7 linked regions of the Macaca fascicularis genome follow. The protein of the gene in region 2 interacts with the protein of the main gene of each other region in a biochemical or structural test. Links are inferred from orthologs where the notes say so. Each region holds a gene or a part of one and is shown on either strand. Other genes may lie near its edges. The genes, in order: CYSLTR2, DLG4, KCNA5, NET1, KCNA1, LRP2 and KCNA4.

The links.
Region 1: the proteins of DLG4 (region 2) and CYSLTR2 interact in a biophysical measurement, tested with the Homo sapiens proteins (2 studies listed by IntAct, with this or other methods). The link is inferred for Macaca fascicularis from reciprocal best matches to the Homo sapiens genes DLG4 and CYSLTR2.
Region 3: the proteins of DLG4 (region 2) and KCNA5 form a complex in vitro, tested with the Homo sapiens proteins (2 studies listed by BioGRID and IntAct, with this or other methods). The link is inferred for Macaca fascicularis from reciprocal best matches to the Homo sapiens genes DLG4 and KCNA5.
Region 4: the proteins of DLG4 (region 2) and NET1 interact in a biophysical measurement, tested with the Homo sapiens proteins (2 studies listed by IntAct, with this or other methods). The link is inferred for Macaca fascicularis from reciprocal best matches to the Homo sapiens genes DLG4 and NET1.
Region 5: the proteins of DLG4 (region 2) and KCNA1 form a complex in vitro, tested with the Homo sapiens proteins (3 studies listed by BioGRID and IntAct, with this or other methods). The link is inferred for Macaca fascicularis from reciprocal best matches to the Homo sapiens genes DLG4 and KCNA1.
Region 6: the proteins of DLG4 (region 2) and LRP2 form a complex in vitro, tested with the Homo sapiens proteins (2 studies listed by BioGRID and IntAct, with this or other methods). The link is inferred for Macaca fascicularis from reciprocal best matches to the Homo sapiens genes DLG4 and LRP2.
Region 7: the proteins of DLG4 (region 2) and KCNA4 form a complex in vitro, tested with the Homo sapiens proteins (8 studies listed by BioGRID and IntAct, with this or other methods). The link is inferred for Macaca fascicularis from reciprocal best matches to the Homo sapiens genes DLG4 and KCNA4.

What each region holds. Positions count from the first base shown.
Region 1 is NC_088391.1:27,793,166-27,797,182, reverse strand, and holds the start of CYSLTR2 (cysteinyl leukotriene receptor 2), read right to left. Parts: upstream 2,801-4,017; 5' UTR 2,713-2,800; intron 1-2,712. UniProt on the Homo sapiens protein: Receptor for cysteinyl leukotrienes. The response is mediated via a G-protein that activates a phosphatidylinositol-calcium second messenger system.
Region 2 is NC_088390.1:7,237,284-7,240,423, forward strand, and holds the end of DLG4 (disks large homolog 4), read right to left. Parts: intron 2,762-3,140; coding exon 2,652-2,761; intron 2,085-2,651; coding exon 1,993-2,084; intron 1,429-1,992; coding exon 1,322-1,428; 3' UTR 501-1,321; downstream 1-500. UniProt on the Homo sapiens protein: Postsynaptic scaffolding protein that plays a critical role in synaptogenesis and synaptic plasticity by providing a platform for the postsynaptic clustering of crucial synaptic proteins.
Region 3 is NC_088385.1:5,921,385-5,925,361, reverse strand, and holds KCNA5 (potassium voltage-gated channel subfamily A member 5), read right to left. Parts: upstream 2,801-3,977; 5' UTR 2,686-2,800; coding exon 868-2,685; 3' UTR 68-867; downstream 1-67. UniProt on the Homo sapiens protein: Voltage-gated potassium channel that mediates transmembrane potassium transport in excitable membranes. Forms tetrameric potassium-selective channels through which potassium ions pass in accordance with their electrochemical gradient.
Region 4 is NC_088383.1:6,348,167-6,352,314, reverse strand, and holds the start of NET1 (neuroepithelial cell-transforming gene 1 protein), read right to left. Parts: upstream 2,801-4,148; 5' UTR 2,665-2,800; coding exon 2,537-2,664; intron 1-2,536. UniProt on the Homo sapiens protein: Acts as a guanine nucleotide exchange factor (GEF) for RhoA GTPase. May be involved in activation of the SAPK/JNK pathway Stimulates genotoxic stress-induced RHOB activity in breast cancer cells leading to their cell death.
Region 5 is NC_088385.1:5,789,115-5,793,347, reverse strand, and holds the start of KCNA1 (potassium voltage-gated channel subfamily A member 1), read right to left. Parts: upstream 2,801-4,233; 5' UTR 2,233-2,800; intron 1,867-2,232; 5' UTR 1,318-1,866; coding exon 1-1,317. UniProt on the Homo sapiens protein: Voltage-gated potassium channel that mediates transmembrane potassium transport in excitable membranes, primarily in the brain and the central nervous system, but also in the kidney.
Region 6 is NC_088386.1:64,769,324-64,772,823, reverse strand, and holds part of LRP2 (low-density lipoprotein receptor-related protein 2), read left to right. Parts: coding exon 1-271; intron 272-1,318; coding exon 1,319-1,522; intron 1,523-2,410; coding exon 2,411-2,653; intron 2,654-3,500. UniProt on the Homo sapiens protein: Multiligand endocytic receptor. Acts together with CUBN to mediate endocytosis of high-density lipoproteins. Mediates receptor-mediated uptake of polybasic drugs such as aprotinin, aminoglycosides and polymyxin B.
Region 7 is NC_088388.1:35,540,402-35,544,481, reverse strand, and holds the start of KCNA4 (potassium voltage-gated channel subfamily A member 4), read right to left. Parts: upstream 2,801-4,080; 5' UTR 2,388-2,800; intron 2,191-2,387; exon of another isoform or gene 1,896-2,190; intron 1-1,895. UniProt on the Homo sapiens protein: Voltage-gated potassium channel that mediates transmembrane potassium transport in excitable membranes. Forms tetrameric potassium-selective channels through which potassium ions pass in accordance with their electrochemical gradient.

The sequences.
Region 1 (4,017 bases), on a different chromosome or scaffold from region 2:
GTGCATAGAGCAAACTATAGAAAAGCAGAAAGGATCCTTGATTCTGGAGTACACAGGAAATCTTAATGATGCCCAAAGTAACCATCATGTATTCATGTACACAGCAATGAGTAGTACACTGAAAAAATATATCATCTTTCCTCCAAAACGGAGGCTGCTCATGTGATCCCAGGTGGATGGGAGGCAGAGTGATATAATGAATGAAACCATGTGCTTTTGAGTTAAAAGGGTCCTGGGTTTAAGTTTCAACTCTGCCTTTTAGTCTCTTTTATTACTGCAGCCCTCTGAGCTTCAAACTCTCCTCTGCCAAAGGAGCACTGGAGTGAGTACTGATGAAAAAAAAAATGGATGTGAAGTGATTAACTTGGTGCCCAACACACACAAAGAATTCAGTCAGTACTAGCTGACAATCACAATAAAATTTGTGACAATAACGTACAAAACTCAGAGAATTAAATAGCAGCCTTCTTTACGGCCAAGTAAAAGATGGGGCCATTTCATCCGGAGAAGAGCCAACCAGAAAGACATGAACAATTCTATTTACTTTCCTTTATTTTTATTACACAAGTAGTACATGTTCATGGTAAAGAAAAATTACAATGTAATACAAGCTGAAATAAACTTAAATTATGAACTTTACCACCAACCAGACATATCTAAAATTTCACATATATGCTTTTTTTCATCTTTCTTGAAATATATGAAAATATTTTTAAACAAAAATAAGCGCATTTATAATACTGTTTTATATCTTGCTTTTTTCTTATTTCCATGCCATGATCACCTTTCTTTGCCAAATAACAACATCAATGTCATCATCTAACTGGCTACAGAATAACCAATTATATAAACATTATGAAATATGTTTAACCAATTTCCCACAATAGCTATTATTTAAGTTGTAAGAATGGACCATGTGCCCTGGGCTAAACCAGATTGGACCAGTTCTGGTTCCACCTGGAAAAGATCCTATGTTCTCTCGGTCTCATCTTTACCATCTTTAAAATAAGAATTACTCCAGTTCTTAAGGCTAGTATGTGGATCAAATGAACTGATGCATGTAAACGTGTTTTGTAAAGTACTATGTGAATGTTTACATTCATTAATGAAGGTACTAAACAGGTGTTCTCCACTGAGTCAAAACAAGAAGAAATTTGATTAACATGCTGTTGGTCTCGTTGGGATGATTCCTGGCCTGCAGCAGGCTAGGAGTGCAACAGCAAATGCTTCAATGTGGTTTAGGGGCTCTGGCTCTGTTTTCAGTCCCCAATGGGAGAAACCAGAACGCAGCCCTGGCATAAACTCTGTCCACTTTCCTCCTGAGGACATGAGGTCCAGAGAAGGTAAGTGCCATGTCTATGGGGCTCCTGAAAGCCAGAGTGAGCCACCTTCTGCCTCCAAATCCAATGCCATCGATCTTCACTGTGCCCACAGTGTGTTAGTGACTGGCCAGCTATTAAATGCCCACCTTGTGTTTAATCTTGAAGATTGCAAAAGAAAGGAAGCCTGGCTGCCTTGGCAGATTCTAGCAGATATGGGCGTGATTCAGGTACATTCAGAACATACGACAGCCTCAACTTCTCTAACTTTTAACCATCGAAGCACTGGAAACAAATCCACCTCTTTAAAACATTAGTAAATCGAAACACAAGTAGATTCTCATCTCAAGAGTTTATGTGGCTGAGGTAGATAGAAATTTCTAGAAGTCTTATGTTTCCCCCCAAATTATTCTGTAATTTGCATTATGTATGTAGTGTTGAAAGGGAGATTTGATTGGATTGCCTGAAATTATACCTCCCTTTCTCCTAATACATATTACTCTCAGGTATATGTCAGAGACAGAAAAATATTTTGAATGACGTAGGTCATCTGTTTTTATGCCGACCACCTATTAGAATCACCTGAGAAGTTTCTGGAAAACAAGACAAAATACTGCAGATGACTTGCTGATCTCTAAAAGTTAAGCTTCAATTATTCTAGGGGTAATTTTCTAATCTCCTCAGAGTCAGGTGATTCTGACTTGATGTGCAGCCAGAGTTGAGAAACACTGGTTAGGGTCCCAGTGGGGTAAGGAACAGATTATATGCTCATGATCTCACATACTCTTTCACTCTCATTGTGCCTCTAAGCAAAACCATTGAAACATATGTGCTCAGATTCAACTTCTTCTACCTCTAAAACAAGACCCTGAATGAAAAAAATATATCTTATATAATAAAAGGACCCAAACTATGAAAAATAGGATAACTGCTATACAGCTAAAAATGGAGGAAGTAAAGTTCCTCAATGCAATATTATGCAGCAGCTTTAATTTATGATTACAAAGAATTCACAGCAACATGGAAAAACCATAGACTGAAATGCAGGAAATGAATATAAACGTGTCCATAGTGCAGGGACGCAACTATGAAAACTAAAGTTATATGTGCATATACACATTCACAAACACGCACACACACACACACATACACACACACACACACACGGAAAACCCCCAAAATATCAATAGAGGCTATCTTGGTGGAGAATTTGGCTTCCTTTAACATTTTTGTACTTTCACAGTATTTTTTAAACTACCATGTACATGATAGGAAAATAATATTTATAGTAGAACAAAACAAATTTACTTTTCAAAAATTACTCCTCTATTACGTGATCTTCAAGTCATGATTCTCAACACTGAATTAACAAAACAAAGATTAAAATGCCCACCTGAAGTTCTCTGTCTTTCAGCTGCCCTGGCTTCTGCTGCCTCTATCTCTTCTGCCTTTCTCCTCCAAGTAATTCGGATTGCTCATTTAAAAGAAAAGGGAAACAGCAAATTATATTTATGAACAGTGCCAACCAATAGCAAGAAAGTCAGGAAGTGTAGCAGGTCATCTGTGCTTTTTAGAAGCCAGTATAGATGTCAGTGCAAGATCTCTTCTCAAGAAGGGGGAAGATTTCCAGTTAAGGGCTACATCTAAAAAGAAGAAACCTAAAATTGCCCTGCCCCTCTAATGACTGGTTTTTGTCATTATCTTTCTCAAGAGAACAAGCGGATATAATGGGTTAGAGTCAGGGATTTTAAGTGGCTTTTAGTTCTCCTGAAAGGTTTCTGTTTCCATGGCAACAGAAATAGCAACACTGCCTTACACACACAGCACTTTAGATTTGTTTAAAGCACTTCCCTCACTCACTTATATTTTCAATTCACTTGCACTCCAGCAGAGACCTTATCCACTCTGCTGAAAATGTTCTGTCAGAGGTTACCAATAACCTTGTTGCTCACATAAAAAATCCTTTCTCAGTCCTCACCTTCCTTCCCGTCTTGTTTGCATAGTTGACCACTACCACTTTCCTGAAACTTCTTCCTTGTTTCTCTGACTTTCCTGGTTCTTTTTCTCCCCCTCAGATTGCTCTTCTTTGCCTCTCTTTCTGATGCCTCTTCTTCCATCCCTTTTCTACATGTGAGCTTTCCCCAGAGGTCTGTGTTCTGACTTCTTCCCTCCTTCTCTTGCTTTTATCTATCTGATGCACAATCATGGCCAAATTTAATGTGACCCAGATGGACCTTTTCTCTTCCCCTCTTAGTCCTGCATCCCCCCATCTACCCTGTCTAAACAGTGGCACCACAATAATTTAGCCCATCCATAAACCTAGAAGTCACTTTTAACTTCTCTCTTTCTTCCACCACCCACTTCTGAGCCAACAAGTTCCATTTGTTCTGCCCATAAAATATGTCCCAACTCCAACCATTGCTGACCTCCCCATCACTGTTCAAATCCTCATTTCCTGGATAGAAAGCTGCAGTAACATTAAGCAAGAAAAATACATAAAAGGGATCCAAATTGGAAATAAATAAGTAAAATTATATCTGTCTGCAAATGATAAAATTTTATACGTAGGAAAACCTGAAGATTCCATACACACACACACACACACACACACACACACACACACACACACACAAAACCCCAATAGAACTAATAAGCAAATTCAGCAAAGTTGCAGGATAGGAAATCAATACACAAAAAT
Region 2 (3,140 bases):
ATGCCTGTACTCTTAACACTGTGGGAGGCTGAGCCGGGTGGATCACCTGAGGTCAGGAGTTTGAGACCAGCCTGGCCAACATGGCAAAACCCCGTCTCCACTAAAAATATAAATACAAAAATTAGCCAGGCGTGGTGGCAGGCGCCTGTAATCCCAGCGACTCGAGAAGCTGAGGCAGGAGAACCGCTTGAACCCAGGGGGCGGAGGTTGCAGTGAACCAAGATCGCACGATGGCACTCCAGCCTGGGCGACAGAGTAAGACTCTGTCTCAAAAAAAAAAAAAAAAAACATTTCCAGAGACTAGCTCTGTCCACAACTCCATGAACATGAATGAATGAAGTTTCCTCTCTATTTTCCTTTAGGGACTGTTACGCTACTCAACAGGGCTGAGACAGCCCAGCGGGGATCAGAGCTGGACTAAGTTTGCAGGGCCCCAGACAAGTTCCAGCCTCCCGTCTCCCTCCACACCCAGGTCCCAAATAACCAGGCCACACACCGAGTTTCAAGTATCTGTCTCTTCCTTTCACTCTCTCAAAAGAAAAAATAAATAAATTGCAGAAGGCGGCAGCATTTCCAGTCTTCCCTGGCTCCCGGACACCCGACCCCCGACCCCTGCCCCCCACCCTCCCTCCCGCATTTCCCACTCCCTAGACCCATCCCTCCCTTTTCCCCAAAAAAAATTCCCAGGAAAAAAAAAAAAAAAAAAAGCCACATTTAGACCTTCCACTCATGCAAACCGGCAAAGAAAAAAGGTGGGGGCATGTGGAAGGCAGGGGCCCACGGTGGAGTCCCCTGCTTCTCCCCCCAAAAAACCACCTTTGAGAAGAAAAAAAGTGGAAAAAATAAATGAGAAATCAAGGGACATGGGGAATTGCGATGAGGGCAGGGGTGACCCCAGACCCTGCCTCAGGAGAGAGCGGAGGCCTGTGGCCCTGCATCCCTGCAGCGGGTGCTCCTCGAGGGGGCCCTGACTTCTGGAATGTGTGTGGGAGAAGATGGGGGAGGGCAGGTGGCCCCCGTGGGTCTGTGTGTGCATTGGGGGCGGGCGGGGGCGGGGATCCTAAGGAGCAAGGGCTCGGAACCAGGAGCCCAGCTCCCCACCCAGACCCCAGGTTCCTGGCATTCAGGAGCCCAGTTCTGGGGTACGGGGATACATGCAGAGGAGTGTCCCCCCTCCAATAGGCTGGATCCAGTTAGAAAGGAAATAAATAAGAAGGGATGGGAGGGAGGCCGGGGGGAGCCAAGGGCTTGGGCAATTCAGTCCAGACCAAGGGCCCAGGTGATGGAGGCAGGGCGAGTCCAGGCCAAGCCAGGGCAGGAATCAGAGTCTCTCTCGGGCTGGAACCCAGATGTAGGGGCCTGAGAGGTCCTCGATGACACGCTTCACCTTGTGGTAGATCTCCTCAAAGCTGTCACCCTCCACGATGGCTGGGAGTGGGGTGGAGCAGGTAGTAAGGCCAAGGAAGGGCCAGAGGACACCTGGCCAAGGGAGTGGCACCAGCCCAGAGGAAGGGGCACCTCTTTCTAATTCTCCAAGCCATGAGCCATGAGGCTGTACCCGCCCAAAGGGGCACCTCTTTTTTTTTTTTTTTTTTTTTTTTTTGAGACTGAGTTTCACTCTTAGTGCCTAGGCCGGAGTGCAGTGGTGCGATCTCGGTTCACTGCAACCTCTGCCTCCAGGTTCAAGCAATTCTCCTGCCTCAGCCTCCTGAGTAGCTTGGATTACAGGTGCCCGAAACCACGCCCTGCTAACTTTAGTATTCTTACTAGAGACAGGGTTTCATCATGTTGGCCAGGTTGGTCTTGAACTCCTGACCTCAGGTGATCCACCTGCCTTGGCCTCCCAAAGTGCTGGGATTACAGGCGTAAGCCCCCATGCCATGCCCACAGGGGCACCTCTTTCTAAACCATCCACTGGGAGTGGCGGGGGAGCTCTTTCTAATCCGAGCAAAGGCACCCTACGTGCTGGCGACAGCCTTGCTGTGGCCTCACCTGAGAAGCACTCTGTGAACTCCTGCTCCAGCTTGGTGGCTCTGTCGAAGGCTTTGCGGGCTTGCTCCTCTGTGATCCGCTTGTTAATCTCTCTGTGAAGAGGGAGGGAGAGCAGGCCTGAGACTGGGCCCACCTGACCCTACCTTTTACCTCCTCTATCTAGGAATGTTAAGTTACAACTAGTATTCTTCTATTTGGAGCACATAGCAAAAAAAAAAAAAAAAATACAATTCCCAGTATCCTCTGGGGCCACAGATGAGACCCCCACCCGCAACCGCCCCAGCCAGGTGTGGCTACTCCAGGGACATTTCCAGAGCTTCATCCTTCCAGCCTTCAGCCCCAGAGATGGGATTCGGACTCCAACTCCCAACAGCCCCGGAGGCCCTGACTCGTCCCAGCTGGTATACCCCAGGGGCTGCTGGGAGATGTAGTCCCGTCTAGCCCAAGGCAGGAGAGGAGGGGAAAGGCCCGATTCCCCGCATCCTCTGGGTTCCAGGTCTCCTGGATTCCAGGTTCTGCTGGGTTTCAGGAATCCCCCTCTGGGGTTGCTGAAACCGCTGTCCAGCGTTCTGAAGGGAGAGTTGACTGCAGAGGCCTAGTGAGGCCCAGGGCCACATGTGTTGGGGGAGCAGAGGGGAGGCCCCCAGGACTATACTCACAGCACATTCTCCAGGGAGCGGGGGCGAATGAAGATGGCGATGGGGTGCAGGTGGGCCGCCTGCAGCCGCCGCACGGCATTGGCCGAGACATCGAGGATGCAGTGCTTCCCCTGGGGGCAGGCAGGGTGGGCGGAGGGGGCCAGCAGGTGGCGGGAAAGGACAGACAGCAGTGCCGGAGGGACATGGGACGGGGAGAGGTGGGGAATGGGAGGTTGGCCGAAGGGGAGTGACGTGGATGTCAAGAAACACGGGGGCAGAGAGTCAGGCAGGAAGAGGGCAGGGACAGAGTAAAAGACAGAGAAAGGAAAGGGAGGATGGAGAGCACGGGGAGAGGGCAGGGACAGGACAGAATGGAGGAAGGGAGGAGCACCAGGCAGACAGGGACCCAAGAGATGGTGGCAGAGCCGGGGCAGCAGCGAGTGGGGCGGGGTGTGTAAGGCAGAGGTGACACAGGCCGGAAGGAAAGCCAAGAAAAAGGAGAAAGGAAGT
Region 3 (3,977 bases), on a different chromosome or scaffold from region 2:
GAAACAGACAGTGACAGACTATTTTTTAAAATGTCAGAAAACATATCAGCTGCAGAAAAACTAACACTTGCCTCAACAAGGTAACCTTTTATTTCCTGGGATTAAAAATAAAGAGAATAAATTATCAGAAGTATTCCTCCAATATCATTCAAATGCTTTTTGAAGAAAGTTACAAGAATTGTTTAAGGCGCACAGAAAAAGTCAGATTTGCCTTTCTTCAAGAACATTCTCTGCCCTAGACACAAAGCACCAATACCACATCCCGGAAAAGACAGAGGCTTGGAGACACAGGAACCAGAACAGCCCATACCAAGATCTCTGGCTCTAATATAAGTATCACAGAAAAACATCAGGGCAACTCTTTCTTCCATAAATACAACATGTATCTTGAAAATATATCCAAAATATCTCTATCTAAACTACAGTACAAAAAGCCACTTACCAGGCATAAAAATAATATTTTCCCCTATACACAAATGTAATCATATGTAAAGCAAATTTGGAACACATGGATGGAGGAGTTACGTAATCTCTTGGGATCTGGGCTATTTAGAGTCATTTTTGTTTGGGTTATCCCTCTGCGGGGTATAGGAGACTGGCTACAAATACATCCATCTCACAGCGCTTACCATTTCAACAGCTCCTGCGTCATGGAATGTGGTACTTTTTAAAAATAGGTGACCCTTGGGTGTCATGGAAAGAAGAGAGAAAATGGGGGGATTGAGGGAGGGAGGAAAGGAGTGAAAGGAGAGGGGTAGACTGAGGTTACAGTGTGACTTCAAATACTCTGCGGTATAATGTAAATATCCATGTTCAGCAAGCCTTCCATTCCCTACCCCACTGCCACCAGTCTGCCTGAATCTCCTTTTACAAATCTGTTTCCCGGCTGGTGTCCAGGCAGAGGGCATAAAGGGACCTCCGCAAGTCCACGTTGCTCTTGGCCTTGACGTTACACTTCTCTAGGGGGCAGCTGCTCCTTCGGGCACTGTCTGCATTCTCCAGGGTCCCCCCGGCCTTGCAGAAGGATCCCCTGCTCCCGCTGGACTCCTGGACCTTCCGCTGGACTCCTCTGTCCAGCCCCGGCCCCTGGCTCTGAGGGCCCTGCTCTTCCTTAAGGACTGCCGGCTCCTCGTGGTCCGTCTCCCGGTGGTAGAAGTAGTTGAAGTTGGAGACAATGACGGGCACAGGCAGGGCAATGGTGAGGACCCCGGCGATGGCACACAGCGAGCCCACGATCTTGCCCCCCACGGTGATGGGCCTCATGTCCCCGTAGCCCACAGTGGTCATGGTGACCACTGCCCACCAGAAGGCATCAGGGATGCTAGAGAAATGGGTCCCCTGGTTGTCAGCCTCTGCGAAGTAGACGGCACTGGAGAAGAGGATGACCCCGATGAACAGGAAGAAGATGAGCAACCCCAGCTCCCTCATGGAGGCCTGCAAGGTCTTGCCCAGGATCTGCAGCCCCTTGGAGTGGCGGGAGAGCTTGAAGATGCGGAACACCCGGACCAGGCGGATGACTCTGAGGATGGCCAGGGACATGGCCTGCTGCCCATTCTGGCTGCCTCCTCCGCCCCCTGGCTGTTGCTCTGCCAGCTCGGTGCCCAGGGTGATGAAGTAAGGGAAGATGGCCACCACATCGATGATGTTCATGATGTTCCGGGAGAACCCTGCCTTGCTGGGGCAGGCGAAGAAGCGCACGAGCAGCTCGAAGGTGAACCAGATGACGCACGTGGTCTCCACGATGAAGAAGGGGTCGGCCAGGGTCCTGGGCAGGAGCGGTGCCACCGTAGGGCCAGAGGGCGGGGCCATGACCCCGCTGCCGTTGGTCCCAGGGGCGGGCGCGGGAGGCTGGTGGGGCGCTGGGGGGTGGCGGAGCAGCTCGCGTTCATCCCTGAACTCGGGCAGGGTCTCCAAGCAGAAGGTGATGATGGAGATGAGGATGACCAAGACCGAGACGATGGCGATGGCCCGCGCGGACCCAGAGCTCTCCGGATACTCGAAGATAAGCCACACCTGGCGCTGAAACTCGTTGCGGGGCAGGGGCTTCTCCTCTTCTTTAATGAAACCCTCATCCTCGCGGAAGCGCTCCATGGCCTCGTCCCCCAGCTGGTAGAAGCGGATCTCGTCCGCGAACACGTCCAGGGAGACGTTGACCGGCCTCCGCAGGCGGCCCCCCGACTGGTAGTAGTAGAGGATACCGTCGAAGCTGGGCCGGTTGCGGTCGAAGAAGTACTCGTTCCTCAGGGGGTCGAAGTAGCGCAGGCGCTTGGCGGGGTCGCCCAGGAGGGTGTTGGGGAACTGCGCCAGGGTGCCCAGCTGCGTCTCGAAGCGCAGCCCGGAGATGTTGATGTGGACGCGCTGGTGGTGCAGGGACGCCGTGCCCAGAGCCTGGTCCTCCACCGTGCCCAGGCCGGGGTCGCCTTCTTCCTCCTCGTCCTCGGGAGGCGGCCGTCGAGGCTGTGGCAGCTCCTTGGGCAGCGGAGGCAAGGGCCGCACTCCCGGGTCCGCGTCTCTCTGCGCGCCGCGCCCCTTTGGCGCCGGCTCCTTGGGCCCATCGCTGAGCCCAGCCGTCGGGGGACACTGGAGCTCTCCCCCTGTGGCCTGGCCGCAGCCTGCCCGGGCCTCATCGCCTCCTCTGACGGTCATGGCACCGCCGTTCTCCAGGGGCACCAGGGCGATCTCCATGGCGCGGGAGCAGCGGGCATGCTGCGCCCCAGCTGACCTGCTGCCGCGCCCCCTACTCACGCTCCCCGGGCACCTCCCGTCAGGCTCCGCTCCCGCGGTCGGCCGGCCCCTCTCTGGGGCGAGCTGGGGTTGCTGGCGCGATCCCCTCGCTTGGCCCTGACGTCAAGAAGCCGCTGCCCTGCTCTCTGCCTCTCTCTCTTCTGGCAGCCCGTTACCAAGCAGCCGAAAAGCCTCCTTCCAGCAGATGCAACCTTCAGCCGTCCCTCTCTGGCTGCGCTGCGCTTGGCCTCCACCCTCGGCGCCTCCCCCGCCTTCCCCTCTCCCTTCCCCCTCCTCCTGCTTCCCCTCCCCCTCCTCCCGCTTCCCCTCCCGGGTCTTGTGGCAGCCAGTGTCTCCCCGAAGGGCGCAGCTGGTGCCCCTAGCAAGGGAAAGGAGGGGCTGAGAGGGGTGCAGCCCAGCGGAGGGAGGGAAGGAGTGGGGAGGATGGAGGAACAGGTTGTACCGAGAGCGCTGAAATTCCCAGGGCAACCAGATGAGAATAGCTCTGGATTTCGGTTCACCTGGGAACCCGCTGGAAGCCGAGTGGACTCCAGGGGGAACGAAGTGCCTTGGGCTAAAGGGAAGAGGCTTTGAGCTGAGTCGGAGTATGAGAGACAGAGACAGGAGACACCAGTCCTTTTTATTTTGGAGAAATAACGGTATTTCTTTGGGAAGAATTACAGAAGGGAGGGGGCCCACGTAGTTTCGGACCTTGAAATACATATATCAATGGAGAAGCATCTCTCTTCTCGTCTTCCTGCAGCTCCACAAAAATGTACTAGAGGGTTGGAACCTTGCAGGATTCGCATGCCCTAGCCTGTTTCCAGTATGGACCCAGTGGCAGCCCAGGCAAGCAGCCTAGTCAGTAGATGGGCTGTCTGGTCTCAACCCAGCAGAACCCCTGCACCCTCTCCAACGAATCCCATTTGCAAAAACCACACCAGGGGAGGGGAGAAGAGATTTTTACAATCCTAGTGAAGGCTAATCCTGTCTGGTGAATCTTGGAGCTAACAACTGCATCTAGGTCCATGAAGGAGGCAGAGGGTGGAGGTGGCTTATGAGAGGGAGCCAGGGAGGCTGTCCAATCTCCAAGGCTGGAGAAATCCCAAGAGTGGAATAATAACAACCAATACTTACTTCGCTGTTATTATGCACCAGCCCATTCTCAGCACTTCACAAATATTGTCTCTGCGTATTCCTACAGCAACCTGTTTTGTAAGTACTGTTATCATCACCATTTTACAAACGAAGAA
Region 4 (4,148 bases), on a different chromosome or scaffold from region 2:
CATTCATATGCGATGTCCAGAACACAGAAATTCCTACAGACCAACAGATTAGGTTTTGGGGCAGAAGGGGAACAACAGCTAAAGGTTATAAATGCTCTTTTTGAGGTGATGAAAATGTTCTAAGTAGTACGATTTAAGTGGGTAAATTGTACTGTACGTATTTGTCTTTCAAATTAGTTTATAGTGAGTTTTGCAGAACATTTTTTAATAGTCACACAATCATATACACAAATTTTCCTTATGATTTCTGAATCTGATACAGCCCTTAGTTGTTTCTTGCCTCACAATTAATACTATCTTGTAATATTTTACATATTCTTGTAGATGATCTTACCTCTTTTCTGGAAAAGGAATGTTAGTTATTTAATTCTCCATTTTCCCTCCATGGTTCTTCTGTGTCTCACTCTCCTCATGTTGCCTGTGTTACTACGCTTTTCTCAGAATAGATCATTTCCTACCTCACACAAAAAATAGAGGCCTGGTGGGAAAGTCCTCAAATTCCTGCTCACGACACACCCCATTCTTCAAAATTATGTACCATCCATAGCTTCTTGTTAGGCTAAATCCTCCACCTTGAATTTGGATTCTATCCTTTTCTGCCTTCTTGGATCCTTGTTCAACCATTTTTCTCCTCTACTGTCTGTTCGACCTCTCCCTCTATTTGTTAACTAAGCTCAGCACATCAAGTTTATTCTTTTTTAAGAGTCTATCCCACAAACTTGTGTTATTTCCCTCTATTCTTCTTCCTTGTCTTCCTGTTGCAGTGAGACTTCTCTTCACCAATCCCATTGCCAGCTATCAGATTTGAACAATCATCATTTTTCATTTAGACTACTGCAGACTGATTTCCTACCAATCCATCATCTAAACTTGGAAATTTTAATTTGGTATACACGGCTGAGTCCACAAATCTCCTGAAATGTTTATGTATATGAGCACGTTTTTGGGGAATAGTTTTCATAAAATATTAAGAGTGAGATGAGTCCAAAATGTTGCTTATTTTTCTCATGGAAGACAAACTGATCTTCTAAAATGCAAATATGTCATGCTATTGGCTCATTTAAAGTCTTTCAGTATTTCCCCACTACCATGAAGATAAAACCCAAACTCTGTCAAGGCATACAAGGTCTCTTCATGATGTGGCTCTTACCTCTTTAGCATAAATCTCTCATGACTACCTCCTCCTTCTCCCTATACTGGTCTCCTCTCCTCTATACAAATAGTATTGTTAATATAGTAATAAAATAGAATATACACCCAGAACTCATCAGACCCATTTGCTTCAGGGTCTTTCTACATGCCTCTCTGCCTGAAATCACCCATCTACATCTGCTCTCTAAACTGGTCCTCAAAGACTCAGGATTACAATAGGAAATCATTTCCTGTTCTCTCCAGTCAGGATTAAGTGTTCCTTTAAATCTATGGCATTCTATATTCTATAATATATAGAATTCTAATTCTATATTCTGTAATAACTTTTATCACACATTATAATTATTAACCTACTTATCTTTCTTCCCTATTAGATTATAAACCTTAAATAGTAAGAACAGTATTTTTCCATTTCCATATTCCTAGTGTTGGCACTCACATTATTTCCTGAACAAATCGCACATTCTCTTCTCAACCTGTTACAAAACACTCTAAGTTCGATATTGTAACCATTCTTGGAAACCATCTAAGATCAATACTCTCTTCTCATTACCAAATTTAATTTTCATTCCTCATCTAGCTTAATCCTCATATTTTACTTAATCCTCATTTTTATTTGACCTGTCAATAACATCTGACACAGCTCATCACGTCCTCTTGAAATCCTTTCTTCATTTGGCCTCCTGGATACTGTTCTCACTTGGTTCCCTTCCTCCTAATTCACCAGCTATCCCCTGAGCTTCGCTCTGTGAAATTTCACTGAGCCAAACACGAGTCATACACTCTCATTTCAATGTATACTTCCACAAAAAGTAAAAAGAAAAAACACGAAAATGGTTGTGATGGAAATAGGCATCTCACAACTTATCCCCTAGTCTTTTCATTCTCAGGACATGGAACCCCATTCTCGTGGTGCTCACCATGTCAGTTTCGGTCTGAGTAAAGTCATTTGGGAACTCCAGTCTACAGCCAGTTGGGTGTGGAGAACAAAACCATTGTGGCTTTTCCTAAGTCTCCCCCTGAGAAACAGTCAGGAGTAGAGGAGACTCAACAAGCCCGCCCCTTTGCCACAGGCAGGGAAAATCGCAGTTGGGAGTCTCAGGACCGACCTCAGGCCAAGGCCAGGCACACTGTCACTCCGGCCTGTGTCACCCTCATCTCCAGCGGCCCCGGTCCTCCCCCGAACCCCGCAGTCACCTTCCCCACCCCCCACTTACCTCCCAGCGGCCCTCGCCTCCCCCTGGCCCTCACCAACCCCCCCATCCCCCCCATCCCCCGCTCTCGCTGCCCCCCACACCCAACTCACGGCCAGCCCTCCCCTCCCCCCGGCCCCTGCCTCCCCAACACTCACCTCCCGTTCGGCCCTCCCCTCCCCCACACTCACCTCCCGTCCAGCTCCGGCCCAGAGGTGTCTGCCGAAGGCCCCGCCACTCCCTCCGTGCTGAGCCCAGAGGCCCGGCGGCTTCGCCTCCGCGGCCGGGGCTGTTTCTGAGCCGCCAGCTCGGGCTCCATGGCACGGAGGAGGGGGTGGGGCGGTGGCCGGGTGCCCAGAAGACCGGCAGGGACGGGCACGATGCCCGCCAGCCTCTGCCAGGCAGAAAGCGCCTGTCAGCGGACTGCAGCCGCCACCGCCGTCATCCGGGGATTTGAAAATGGCGGCTGCGCAGCGATCAGCCAATCAGTGAGCGCGCAGCGGTTCCTAGGAGACGTGGAGTCCCGCCCCTTCGCCGCTCCCGGGATCCACTTGCCTAGGAAAGAGCCTAGGAAAACTTGACATTAACTGTTGAGCGCATCCCTGAGTCCCCAAGGCCCGATACCTCCTTCATTGTTCATTAGGACTTTCACTGCAGGCCAAGGCAAATGGACTGGAAGCATTTTAAGTCATCAGATCTTTCTTAGCATTTGGGGAGAAGAGAGGTCCAAAGTAATGACCTGTAAACAAGGCTTGTTTATTGGCCATATACACACTAAATTACTGTGCACGTGGCCAATATGAGATATATTTCCAATTACCAAAGATTATACAAGTGTGTTCCCAGGGCTGTCTCTAGGAAACAGCAAAATCTAATTTTGAGCCCTGGTGTCTTCCAATAAGGATACACAGTCTCTCCTTACCAAAACGGAATGAAGTAACTTCATCCTTTGCTTGTAAAAAGTCAGCAAAAGACATAATACAAAATAAAGGACGGCCTCAAGTAAAAAAAAAAAAAAAATTGTTAAATTACACGTTCTTTGAATTTAAATATTGCTTTATATGTGTCAAAGTCTTTAAAATAGCTTCTCCTGACCGGCAGTGGTGGCTCACGCCTGTAATCCCAGCACTTTGGGAGGCCGAGGCAGGCGGATCATGAGGTCAGGAGATCAAGACCATCCTGGCCAACATGGTGAAACCCCATCGCTACTAAAATACAAAAATTAACTGGGCATGGTGGCACATGCCTGTAATCCCAGCTACTCGGGAGGCTGAGGCAGGAGAATCCCTTGAACCAAGGAGTCGGAGGTTGTAGTGAACCAAGATCATGGCACTGCACTCCAGCTCAGCGACAGAGTGAGACTCCGTCTCCAAAAAAACAAAACAAACTTCTCTTTTGGCACTATATTTCAACTTCTGGAAATTTATCCTAAAAAATAAAATTATATAAACATGAAGCTATTAATGATATTGTTTATAATAGAAACATTTAAGACAACCTAAATAAACAATGATTTACAGCTCATCCACTGAGAAGAATATTTTCAGCCAACAAAAATGAAGTGTGAAGTGTGTAATAGTATACTGGTAATTTGAAATAAAAACATGAAGTATAGAGATATATTCAGTATATTCAGTTATGAATTACAAGACATTATACAAAGGAAAAAGATAATGTCAATGTGTTAAAATGTATTAAATGTATTAAAAAATCAATGTATTAAAATGTCTCTAGGTAGTTAGACTTCAGGTATTCAAAATTTTTATTTTTTGCACTTAATTTTTTTTAAAATAAGGACATATT
Region 5 (4,233 bases), on a different chromosome or scaffold from region 2:
ACTGTCAGAGGCTAAGTTAGGGGAACTGACGTGGAGCAACTGAGCCTGCTCTTCCCCCTCAGTTTCTCGGTGGTAGAAATAGTTGAAATTGGACACAATGACAGGTACGGGCAGGGCAATTGTCAGCACACCAGCGATGGCACACAAGGAGCCCACGATCTTGCCTCCAATTGTCACAGGGTACATGTCACCGTATCCTACAGTGGTCATGGACACCACCGCCCACCAGAAAGCATCGGGGATACTGGAGAAGTGCGACTCAGCTTCTTCCGCCTCGGCAAAGTACACTGCACTAGAAAACAGGATGACGCCGATGAAGAGGAAAAAGATGAGCAGCCCTAGCTCTCTCATACTAGCTTTGAGGGTCTGGCCCAGGATCTGGAGGCCCTTAGAGTGGCGGGAGAGCTTGAAGATTCTAAAAACCCTTACCAAGCGGATGACCCTGAGGATGGCCAGCGAGGTGGCCTGCTCGCCCTTCTGGTTTCCTTCCTGCTCAGCTATCTCGGTGCCCAGGGTGATGAAATAAGGAATGATGGCCACAATGTCGATGAAGTTCATGATGTTTTTGAAGAAGTCCGTCTTGCTGGGGCAGGCGAAGAAGCGCACCACCAGCTCGAAGGAGAACCAGATGATACACAGCGTTTCCACGATGAAGAAGGGGTCCGTGAAGATGTTGGAATTGTAGATGACCGTGGTGTTGTCGATGCGGTGGACGGTGCCCGTGAAGTCCTTGTCATCCTTCAGCTCGGGGAGCGTCTCCAGGCAAAAGATGACGATGGAGATGAGGATGACCATGACGGAGACGATGGCAATGACCCTGGCGGGCCCCGAACTCTCGGGGTACTCGAAGAGCAGCCACACCTGGCGCTGGTACTCCTTCTCGGGTAGAGGACGCTCCTCCTCCTTGATGAAGCCCTCGTCCTCCCGGAACTTCTCCATGGCCTCCTCGCCCAACTCGTAAAACTTGATCTCCTCGGAGAACATGTCCAGGGGCACGTTGACCGGCCTCCGCAGGCGGCCCCCCGACTGGTAGTAGTAGAGGATGGCGTCGAAGCTGGGCCGGTTGCGGTCGAAGAAGTACTCGTTCCTCAGGGGGTCGAAGTAGCGCATGCGTTTCTTAGGGTTGCCCAGCAGCGTGTTGGGGAACTGCGCCAGGGTCTTGAGCTGCGTCTCGAAGCGCAGCCCGGAGATGTTGATCACCACGCGCTCGCAGCACTCGTGGTCGTCGTGGTCGGTCTGCCGGGGGTAGCTGCCATCCTGGGGGTGGCCCGGGGCGGCCGAAGCCTCGTCCACGTTCTCCCCAGACATCACCGTCATGGTGAAAGCCGGGCGCGGGGGTGGGAGGCCAGGAGAGAGCCCGGGGTGGGAAACAGCCAGGGACCAGGGGTGGGGGGGGACCCAAGCGGCCCCCCCACCGGAGTGCGCGTCTCCCTCACGCCCAGGGGGAGGGGCTTCAAAATGAGCAGGTCGGGAGATCTGCGACTTTGCCTCTCGCTGCCTTCCCCTCCACCCTGCCTTGTACTCAATTTGGAATCCCCCTCGCCTGCGGGCCGGGTGCCGCTTTTTGCAGAGGGTCGGGTTTGGATTTGGGGGTTTGTTGGCTTTTTGTTGTTGTTGTTGTTGTTGTTTAGATATTTCTTCCTGATCCCAGGTGCCTTAACGCAGTGCCGTTCTAGCGGACTGGGCCATGGCTTCGGGGGTCGCCCTGGCCTCCCCTCCCCTCCGAGAGCCTTGCTAGGACCCGGTGCAGTGCCAGCTCAGCAGATCCCCATGCCTGCCACCCCCTCTGCTTCTCCTCGGCTCTCCCCCCTCCTACCCCTCTTCGCCTGCCGCCTTCTAAGCTCCCACCAGGGCGATCGATGGACGCTGCAGAGAAATAGAAAGTGATACGGGGGTAGAAAATCAGAAGCATTCGGATGGGACGGACCTACAGACACCGAAGAACACAGACCTCTAGCTCGGAAAGCACTGGACGTTTACTAGGGCTATCACACACACACGGACAGACGACACGCAGACACCCGGAAATCCAAGTTTGGGGCTCTTCCATCCCACTTTCCCCAATGCCCAACAGCCGATCTGTTTACAACTTCGTTAAACTAGAGATCGGAAAAGCGCCGAGAGACGCCGGGGGAAGCTCCGGGTCCCAGGCAGCATCCCCGCACCCCCGGCCTCCCCCACCCCGTCGCCCCAACCCCCGCTTCTGCAGCCCCGAGCTGGGGAAACCCCTACCTGGCCGGCCGGCTTGGCGCAGGGGCGGTGCTGAGTCGGCGGAGAGCCCGCGTGGGAATGCGGCAGGTCGCCTTTGCAGTGCCCTGGCGGGAGCCGCGGCGGCCGCCGCAGCAGCATCCGAGACGCGCCGGGCAAACTCGCCGCCCTGGTCCGCTCGTCCGACGCCCCTCTCAGTTGGACAATCGCTTTACCGAGGAGCTACGGCGAAAATGTTCATTCCCTACCCCCATTCTCACCGGTTGCCAGCAACCTGGAGACGCCGTCCTCTCTCCGGTGCAGGGAGTTCCGGAGGATGCGGGGCGGAAAAGCAAAATATCACTCTTTCCCGAAGCTCAGAGGCAAATGACGATAAACAGCACTCTCGCCCCCTCCTAACACTATGGGAGCCCTTGATTCGATCCCGAAGGAGGCGGGCGGGCAAGAGCCTGGATCTACATGGCTCTCCAGTTCCCTTCGCTCGCCGCACCCCAGCGCGGACCTCGCCAAGGCTACGCGGCGCGCCGGGAGCCCTCAGGAGCTCGGAGTGGAGCAGGGTGCGTGCGGCGGCGGGTCCGCTCGGTCCATTTCTGGGCGCTGCAAGATCAGCAGAAACCTGAGAAAGCGCCTGGAATACAGAGCAGCGATTGGCCCACCCGGGCGTGGGTTGGGGAGGGCGGGGGAGGGCAGGCGCGAGGAGGTGGATGGAAAATATGAGGGGGTGGTTTGGAAGAGAGCGGGGTTGTCATTCAGTTCCCACCCTTGCCAGCACAGCTTTTTCCTCTCCTACCAGAAAAGCCGACCACTAACTCTACTTCCCTTGTGGCCCACCGCCCCGCCCACGCACGGCCCCTGGCGGCTCGCGACCTTCCCCGGGAATTTCACATTGGAAATGGTCAGGTCCGACGCAATGCAGGCGGTGGTGTTTCTGGCAAAACTCCTCCAATGGGTTTGCTTTTGTGCAGTCCCACAGTAACCCTCTTCGATCGCACTGCTCTGCGCCCCATTCCGCTCCTCCCCCAAGAAGGCCCTTGCTCTCTGCGGGGCCCTCCCAGCTTCCCCCCGCCGGCTGGACTCTCAGAGCTGCAGACTTTAGGCAGAGCTGTGCAGTTGAGGATCCCTGGGTTTGTTCCATGTAGTTTTACTAGGCGGCGATGGTGCTAAGAGCCTGTCCCTCTTTAACCTACGATGGGACTTGAAGTTTTCTTACAATCCGATTATTCTGAAATACAGAGAATGTGACTTGTGGGGGACCGAAGGCTTCGTGGGTTTGTGGGGTTGTCTGCCAACTTGGTGCTAATTGGGAATAATCTGAGAAGCAAGTCGCCTACTCACCTCCCACCCTATGCCCCTCCTCCCGTAGCCTCTTTCCCCAGCCTAGTGCCTCCACAAGGCCACTTTCAAAGCTTGCAATTTATTCGGAAAGGGTCCCCCGCAGAGGCGCATGGCAGCAGGAGCTGGGGGCGTGCGCCGTGCCCTGCGAGTGCGGCTGGAGCTGCGCCCCCAGAGGCGCTGAGTCTCCGCGCCTGCAGCTCGAGAAAAGGCTGCCGGCAGTTTGGTACTTCCAGGGCTGTGGAGTCTCTAAGGAGGCTGCAAGAGCCCAGAGTCGCCGCTGATTGGCTCCTCCCTCGGCCTTGGGACCACCCTTCTCACCACTGTTGCCTCCCGCCTACACCACCCACCTCCTTAATCAAAGCCAATGATTGCATCCTCCCCGCTCTATTGTGGCTAGTGGAAAGCAGGGGCCTCTGCGGGATTGCCCAGGCAGTGCAACAGTCCCTGTCTGGAACTAGTTAAATCCTTCCTCCAGATTCAGACGCCAGCATTCCCTTCAGAAAAACAAAAGTGTATGTTCCGTCCCCTCCTTCAGATCCATACCCCAGCTTTTCTTTCATGAACAATGAGTTATCTTATACTCCTCCTTCCCATGTTGAACTCTGCCCTTTTCCCACCTTCCACACGCATATCCTTCAATCTCAATAGCTCCAGGGATCCCTACCTTTCTGCACTGCTGCTCTAATGCAA
Region 6 (3,500 bases), on a different chromosome or scaffold from region 2:
ACTCTGACGGGCATGGATCGTGAAGTCATTGTCAATGCAGCCGTTCATGCTTTCGGCTTGACTCTCTATGGCCAGTATATTTACTGGACTGACTTGTACACACAAAGAATTTACCGAGCTAACAAATATGACGGGTCAGGTCAGATTGCAATGACCACAAATTTGCTCTCCCAGCCCAGGGGAATCAACACTGTTGTGAAGAACCAGAAAGAACAGTGTAACAATCCTTGTGAACAGTTTAATGGGGGCTGCAGCCATATCTGTGCACCAGGTAAGGCATTGACCATGAAAATTAAAACATGGAGAATAATGATCACAATACAATTGGTAAGGAAGGCTGAAGTTCTCACAGGAGAAAAAAAATTCAAATTCTCCTTGATTTCAGGGTAATTTATAAAATAGACCTGGGACTATATTTTGAGAAGAAGACTTGGCAGGCTTCCTTTCTATTCTATATGGAGCCCTTTTATGAAAGCATTTTATTTTATTTTATTTTATTTTATTTTATTTTATTTTTGAGATGGAGTCTCACTCTGTCGCCCAGGCTGGAGTGCAGTGGCAGGATCTCGGCTCACTGCAGCCTCCACCTCCCGAGTTCATGCAATTCTCCTGCCTCAGCCTCCCTAGTAGCTGGGACTACAGGCGTACACCACCATGTCCAGCTAATTTTTGTATTTTTAGTAGAGATGGGGCTTCACCATGTTGGCCAGGCTAGTCTCAAACTCTTGGCCTCAAGTGATCCGCCCACCTCGGCTTCCCAAAGTGCTGGGATTACAGGTGTGAGCCACAGTGCTCAGCTTATGAAGGCATTTTAAATACAAGCTTGATGGAGTTAGAAAGAAAGATGAAGGGCTTGGCTGCCCAGCTTCATGTCTTGACTAGGAATTCTGTCAATGAGCTTGCCTTCCTTATAAAAGGATGTACATTTTCTGCTTAAGAGGTATTATTTATAGTTTGAAATATTTCTGGTGGTATTTGCGGGTGGGATCATATGTGCTTCATTGTGCATTTTATAAAGAACAGCAAATTCATGGGAAGATGTGCCTTTTGATGTTGTTGCTTTGCAAATTTTGCTGAGAAGAGACGTTGATATTTCCTGTTGTTTAGAAGGAATCGGCACATTTATTAGAAATTGGTGATTGCTCTTCTTGATGGAAAAGTAACTCAGAATATAGTTAAAAGGTTAATGGGCAGAATTTCCATGGCTTGTCTTAGGGAGCATTTAATGTAGAAGCTGTTGCAAGTGCTATTGTGTAGGGGACAATGTGAACGGTGGCTGCATCCATCTTTTGCTTCTTCTGGGATTATCTTTCTTCAGGTCCAAATGGTGCTGAGTGCCAGTGTCCACATGAGGGCAACTGGTATTTGGCCAATAACAGGAAGCACTGCATTGTGGACAATGGTGAACGATGTGGTGCATCTTCCTTCACCTGCTCCAATGGGCGCTGCATCTCGAAAGAGTGGAAGTGTGATAATGACAACGACTGTGGGGACGGCAGTGATGAGATGGAAAGTGTCTGTGGTGAGTTGGGCTCTTGGCGCTTTTGGTAGGAGCTAATGGCATCTTGATGTCAAGTGTTTGGTACGGAATCCAGCTGTGTGTGAATGGGTTCGAACTGTGTGCCTAGGCATCCTGGTAGAGCTGAAACATGTTTGCTCTTATAATCCAGACTGTTTCTGTTAAATCACCCCTGTAGTGGTTAAGAGCATGAGCACAGTCATCATCCTGGTGATTGTATTTTGTAATCTGTATAGCCCTGGGAAAGTTACTTAATATCTCAAGCCTCAGATGTCTCATCTGTAAAATGGAGCTACTACTAGGGTTCTTGTGAGGAGTAAGAGAAACAATATGTAAAAAACCCTTAGCATGAGACATGGTGCATGCTAAGCCTGGCTTAGCTTGGGACTAAGGAAATGTATCATTTTTACTAATTTTCATAGCACAAAGGTCATTATTTCAATAATTTTATGAAAATAACTTCCAATCCTCAGCTTCCATCTGAATAGAGTGAGTAAAACACAGTGGACTTTCTCAGGGAGTTCTGAGGTTGGTTACCTTTTCCTAGCAGACTGTGATAGGGGCTAGGAGTTTTTATTTTCCTGAAATAAACTATAATTGCTTGCTTTTCTGTGATTTAGATAAATTGAGATTATCGAGAGAATGACTTTGATTTGTGCTGAAATTACTTGATTTGTACATAAAACAATTTATTTAAAAAAGGTATGCAACATATTTTGCTTAATCTAACTAATTAAAAGTGTTATCTCACTTTGCATGCAGTCCGTTTTGCAGCGTTTTTTGCCTTGGAAGGTAAATTCAAAGTGTCCCTTTTATTTAATTGTATCTTTTTAAAAATTAGGATAATGCTTTAATCAAGAGGGTTTGTTCTCATGTTTTTCCTCTTCTTAGCACTTCACACCTGCTCACCGACAGCCTTCACCTGTGCCAATGGGCGATGTGTCCAATACTCTTACCGCTGTGATTACTACAATGACTGTGGTGATGGCAGTGATGAGGCAGGGTGCCTGTTCAGGGACTGCAATGCCACCACGGAGTTTATGTGCAATAATAGAAGGTGCATACCTCGTGAGTTTGTCTGCAATGGTGTAGACAACTGCCATGATAATAACACTTCAGATGAGAAAAATTGCCGTAAGTTTATCTTAAGTGCTTATTGTGATTTTGGGTCTGAAGTCTTGGATCATGGGAGATGAAATTATTATATAAAAACAAAGGCTTTCCAAAAAAGATAAAACCGAAGTATTTATCTAAGATGTAAATTTTTGGCTAGGCACGGTAGCAAGTATCAACAACTACCAATCTTGTTTCATTTTTCTCTCCTTTTTTCTAGTATTTTAAAGTGACTCCTAGACATGCACTTCACTGATAATATTTTGGAAAACAACTACTATGCTGTTATAATGCCTGGCAAAATCAACAGTACTTACTTAATATCCCTGAGTACCTAGTCCATGTTCAGATTTTGTCGCTTATCCCCAAAATGTATTTTTACTGTTACTCTGTTCAAGTTAGGGTTCAGATGAGATCTACATATTGATTTTGATTGTTATAATTCTTCAATTTCTTTTATGCCACAACACTTCCCACTTTTTAATGTCATTGATTCATTAGAAAGATTGGGTGATTTGTCCTGTAGAATATCTCACATTCTGGATTTGACTAATTGCATAATTGATCCATTTAATTTATCTTATCCCTCTTATTTCCTATGAACTGGTATTTAGACCTAGAGTTTTGATCGTAACAGGTGCAATTCTTTGGGTAAGAGTGTTTCAGAGGTGGAGCTGTGCGTTTCCTGTTGCATCACCTCATGAGGCACATGATGTTGGGTTGCCCCACTTTAAGTGGATTCTGGCGTCAGCCTGAATCTTCTCTTATGAAACTCCCATCCTCCTTTCACCCAATGGTTTTAACATCTATGGGTAGTTGTTCCATAAACCCATTATTTCTTTAAGGGTTATGAAATGGGCACTTTAAA
Region 7 (4,080 bases), on a different chromosome or scaffold from region 2:
TCCTTAGGCCACTAACTAAAGTAGGGGAAGATGGGACATGAGGACATACAGTACATCCTGAGACTCACCAGTGGCCGTCGTTAAGTTGGCACTGCCTGGCTCCCTACCTCATGTCCCCATTGTTTTTCTGTTCCCCTGAATCCTGAACACTCTCTACCACCCACAGGCTAGGAACTAATGCCAGTTTCCACATCTCTAATAACCATCTTCTCTCTTTGGCGGTCGCTCCATGTTCACCTCAATGGTTCCTCCTCCACTCTGCTCAAGGTGCTATCTCTTATTTTTTAAAATGTCAGTTTGTGTGAACTTCATTCTTAGCCTATCATACTTACCCCCACTTCAATAAAATCCACATCCCTAACATCCCTCGTCCTCTCTCTCTCTCTCTCTCTCTCTCTCTCTCTCTCTCTCTCTGCCCACTTTTATTTACAATCTCCCACTTCCGAATTGCATGTCCCTTGCAGTTCCAATCTGCTCCCTCTGTCACCTGTTATTCCTGGCCCTTCTTCTTCCTTAGTTTGCTCTCCCAAGATCCAGGTAATTCATCTCCTCAGCCAGGTCCTATAAAAGCCCCCATCCAAATCTCCTGTCTCCTCTTGATTTTTCCATGTACTCTGTTCAACAGGACTTCCAAGAATGCAGGGAGTAACCCAGAGAACTGGAGAGAATGATGATAGTCAGAATTCAGGGCATCTACCAGCTTCTATTACTGGAAGCACTTGGAAAGCATAAGAGAAATGGCTTTCTGAAGCCATTAACAGGATTCAGCTCTTGACCACCTGCTGCTCCTTGCTGATCCTGTCAGCCTAGCAGCCTAAACACACTAAATTTTATGAAGTGACAAGCATGGAAGTGGCAAACAGAGGTCTTCCCAATCATACACCCCTTCCCAATCATACACATTTTCCTAGGGCAAGGAGGGCATTTGATTGCAACACAAACTCCAGAAAATACACCACTGAGGGCCTCTCACATGCCATCTCCCTTCTTTGCCTTACTCCTAACATCATCTCATACTCTGAAATGTTTACCCCCAAGGAGTTACTAAATCCCTACTTACAAAACCATCCTGGGGTGACATTCACCGTGGAGTGTCAGGCCAACATCCTTTCAAGACTGGTACAGACCAAATAGCCTGAGAGTTTGCTCAGTTTCTTCCCCAACTCCCCCAAAACAATTATAATTTCAATGAAGCCCCAGTGTAACCCAAGTTCCTGTATAGTTGAGTACTACACACACCTACCCTCCCACCCAACTGACTCCCAGAAGGTCATAAATTAGAGAGTCTTCTAATTCACCATCAGCTCTTCGGGAGTTCTAGAACTGCCCTCTTTCTGCTCTACACCAAATAATTTCACATTTATTTATTTATTTATTTGGGATTATTTGTCTTTGTTTATCTAACTCCCTCCTCCACCCTACAAGTAGCAAATTGCCTTCCTTTTAATCATCTACTAGTTATTTCACTATCCCTGATCTAGAAAAGGAGAGAGAAAGAAAAAGAAGAGAAAAGAAAAATCATTCCTCCCAGCAAATCAGACTGGTTTAAAATCTCTCTTCTTTCTCAGGGTACTCTTGTTAGTAGAATCTATTCAAGCCAATTTCCAGGAGCCTTTATGATATAGATCTTTGCAGAGGAATTTGTCTTCTTCTTTAACACCATTAAACTAATAGGATTTTGCAGACTACCTATTCCCCAATCCCGGCGCCCCCAAACAACAGCCAAGCATCCCACCCCTCCTCCTCTCACCCCTCCAACAACAAGGCTGTTCGTCTCTCAGTGCTAATTCCTGCAACTGTGTCAGTGTCAGGGTGGTACCCGAACCTTAGAGAGAGAGAGAGAGAGAGAGAGAGAGAGAAGAAAAATTGAGAGAGGGAATCAGAGAAGCCAATACCGTGAGAAATATACACTTCAACGCACGCCATTTATGCAGCCCCTATGTATGTTGCTCAAATGCTCGGAAAATGCACGCAAATCCAAACGTTGGGAGAGGCAGCAATTCAGACTCGTTCACCGGCTGTTAACCGGTGCGGCTGGAAGGAGGTGAAACGATGCTAAATCTTAACCCCCCTCTCGTTGGGAAACGACATCTTTAATCGCGCCGTCGCCTCCAGACCTCGGTTCCCGCTCCAGCACGTTAAGCAGGGCGCACTCACCGCATCCCCGGGGTTGGGAAAATAACAACTGTTGGCCCCCTGGAGCGCCGCGCAGCATCCGCACCTCCCTTCTCCCACCTCCTGGTTTATTTTTAACCGCCTTCCATTCATGCCCTTCTGTCACATTCCCGATATTATTTATCCCTCAAATGTCCACTGTTTCTTAACAGCCAAAAGAAGAAGGTGGAGGAAATATTTAAAAAAAAAAAAAAAAAAGGTATCATACTTACCGTTCCCCGGCGGGGCGAAAAATAAAAATAAAGAAAATCCACCGGCTGGCTTGTTTTTCCCCCTCAAGCTGCAACAGCTGGAGGAGGGGAAGAATGATCTTGGGTGAGGGGGGTGGTAAAAGGAATCACTCGGGTTTGGCAGGTGGAGGGTCCAAATATCCACGGAACAAGTTCTGTTGCCTGGCCCGGGGGGTGCACAGGGTTCTCGCGGCTGGAGTCTGGGGGTGGGGGTCGGGGCTGCCCCAGAGAAGACCCCAAGGCTCCTGGTTCCTCTGGAGTTCAGCACAGGAGGGATTGCCTGGGAAAGGAAGTCAAGGTTCCTCCGAAAAGAAACAAAATCCTAGACAGCAGCGATCACTTGTTAAGCCCGAATTCCTCCTCCAACATCCATCCCTCTCTGGCTCTCGCTGGCTGCGGGAGCAGCACACGCCTCCCCTGGCCGCGAACGCGCGCCGGGCGGGGGCGGGGCCAGGGCCGAGCCGAGGGTGTGGCGTTCGCGACGGTCGCCAGGGGCGCCTCCTGGCGCGGCGGGGCGGGCGCAGTCACGACGCCGCGACTCCCCGCACCCCGGCTGGGCCCCCCGACTCCCAGGATCTGGGATCAATTCCAGGAGTCTTTGGCTCTGGTCCCCAGAGGCGAGGAGCAAATCCTGGAGAAGTGTCCCCGTTGGGGCCGGAATAGGGGTTTCGACGGCAGCGCGGGAGTCCCCAGAGGGCTTGGGAGCGGGGAGCTCCAATGGGAGGTGCAGTCCCGAAAATGGGGTCCTTTGGGACATCTCCTCTCCCTAACTTGCTTTCTCTATATCTCCCCTCTAGCCCCGTCTTCTTTTCCCCACCCCACCCCCTCCCAAAGCGGGTTTGTTGGGTTGGGAGGCGGGTGCATCTCCGGCGAGGCCGCTGGCGGGGAGCCCTCCTGTGCCTGCCAGCGCGTGCAGATCCCTCAGTCTCCGCCTCCCTTGTACACAGTAGTTGAGCGGCTTCAGCGCCGGGGTTGGGCCTCCGGGGCGCGGAGGAGACCGACTTTCAACCTGTGTTCAACCCCGGGCAGGGGAATGTTACAGAAATTGGAATCAGGCCCAAGCTAGGGGCTGCGCACGGGAGGCAGCAGTCCTAGGGGAGGAGGGTTGGAGAGATGAGTAAGTGGCTGGGTGGGCCAGGGGCTGGGGGCTTTGGAAGGCGGGGGAAGAGCACGCAGCCAACCTGTTGCTGCAAAAAGAAATACGCCTCTGGTACCGACTCCCTGAGGGCTCTTTGGATCCTTCGGGATAGAAATCAAGGGAGATCGCAGCAAAATACAAGTTTTTTTGATTTTTCTTTCTTTCTTTTAATTAAAGCTTGTGCGCACAAGGGAGCTAACACCAAGAAAAAAAAAAGTGGGCTGTTCCTCGAAGTCAGGGTGTGGTTTCCTTTACGGGCCTCTGCCGTAAGGGGAAATAAGGGGAACTATAGGCAGGGCATGTAGAGGTGGAGTTTTTCTGGTGCATGCATAGTGGTTTAACATGCTTCTTCACAGGACGTATGTATCATTAGCATCTTAAATCTCCACGTCTGGGCGTGATTGTTTGCATTAAATTAAGGAAAAGGTCACTGTGAATTGAAAGTTAAACCTAGCTGTGCATGCCAGGGCCTGGGACAAGTCCCTCGTCCCCTAAAGCGGAAACTTCTGGTTAATAGCTTCTTGGGCTTTTCATGCT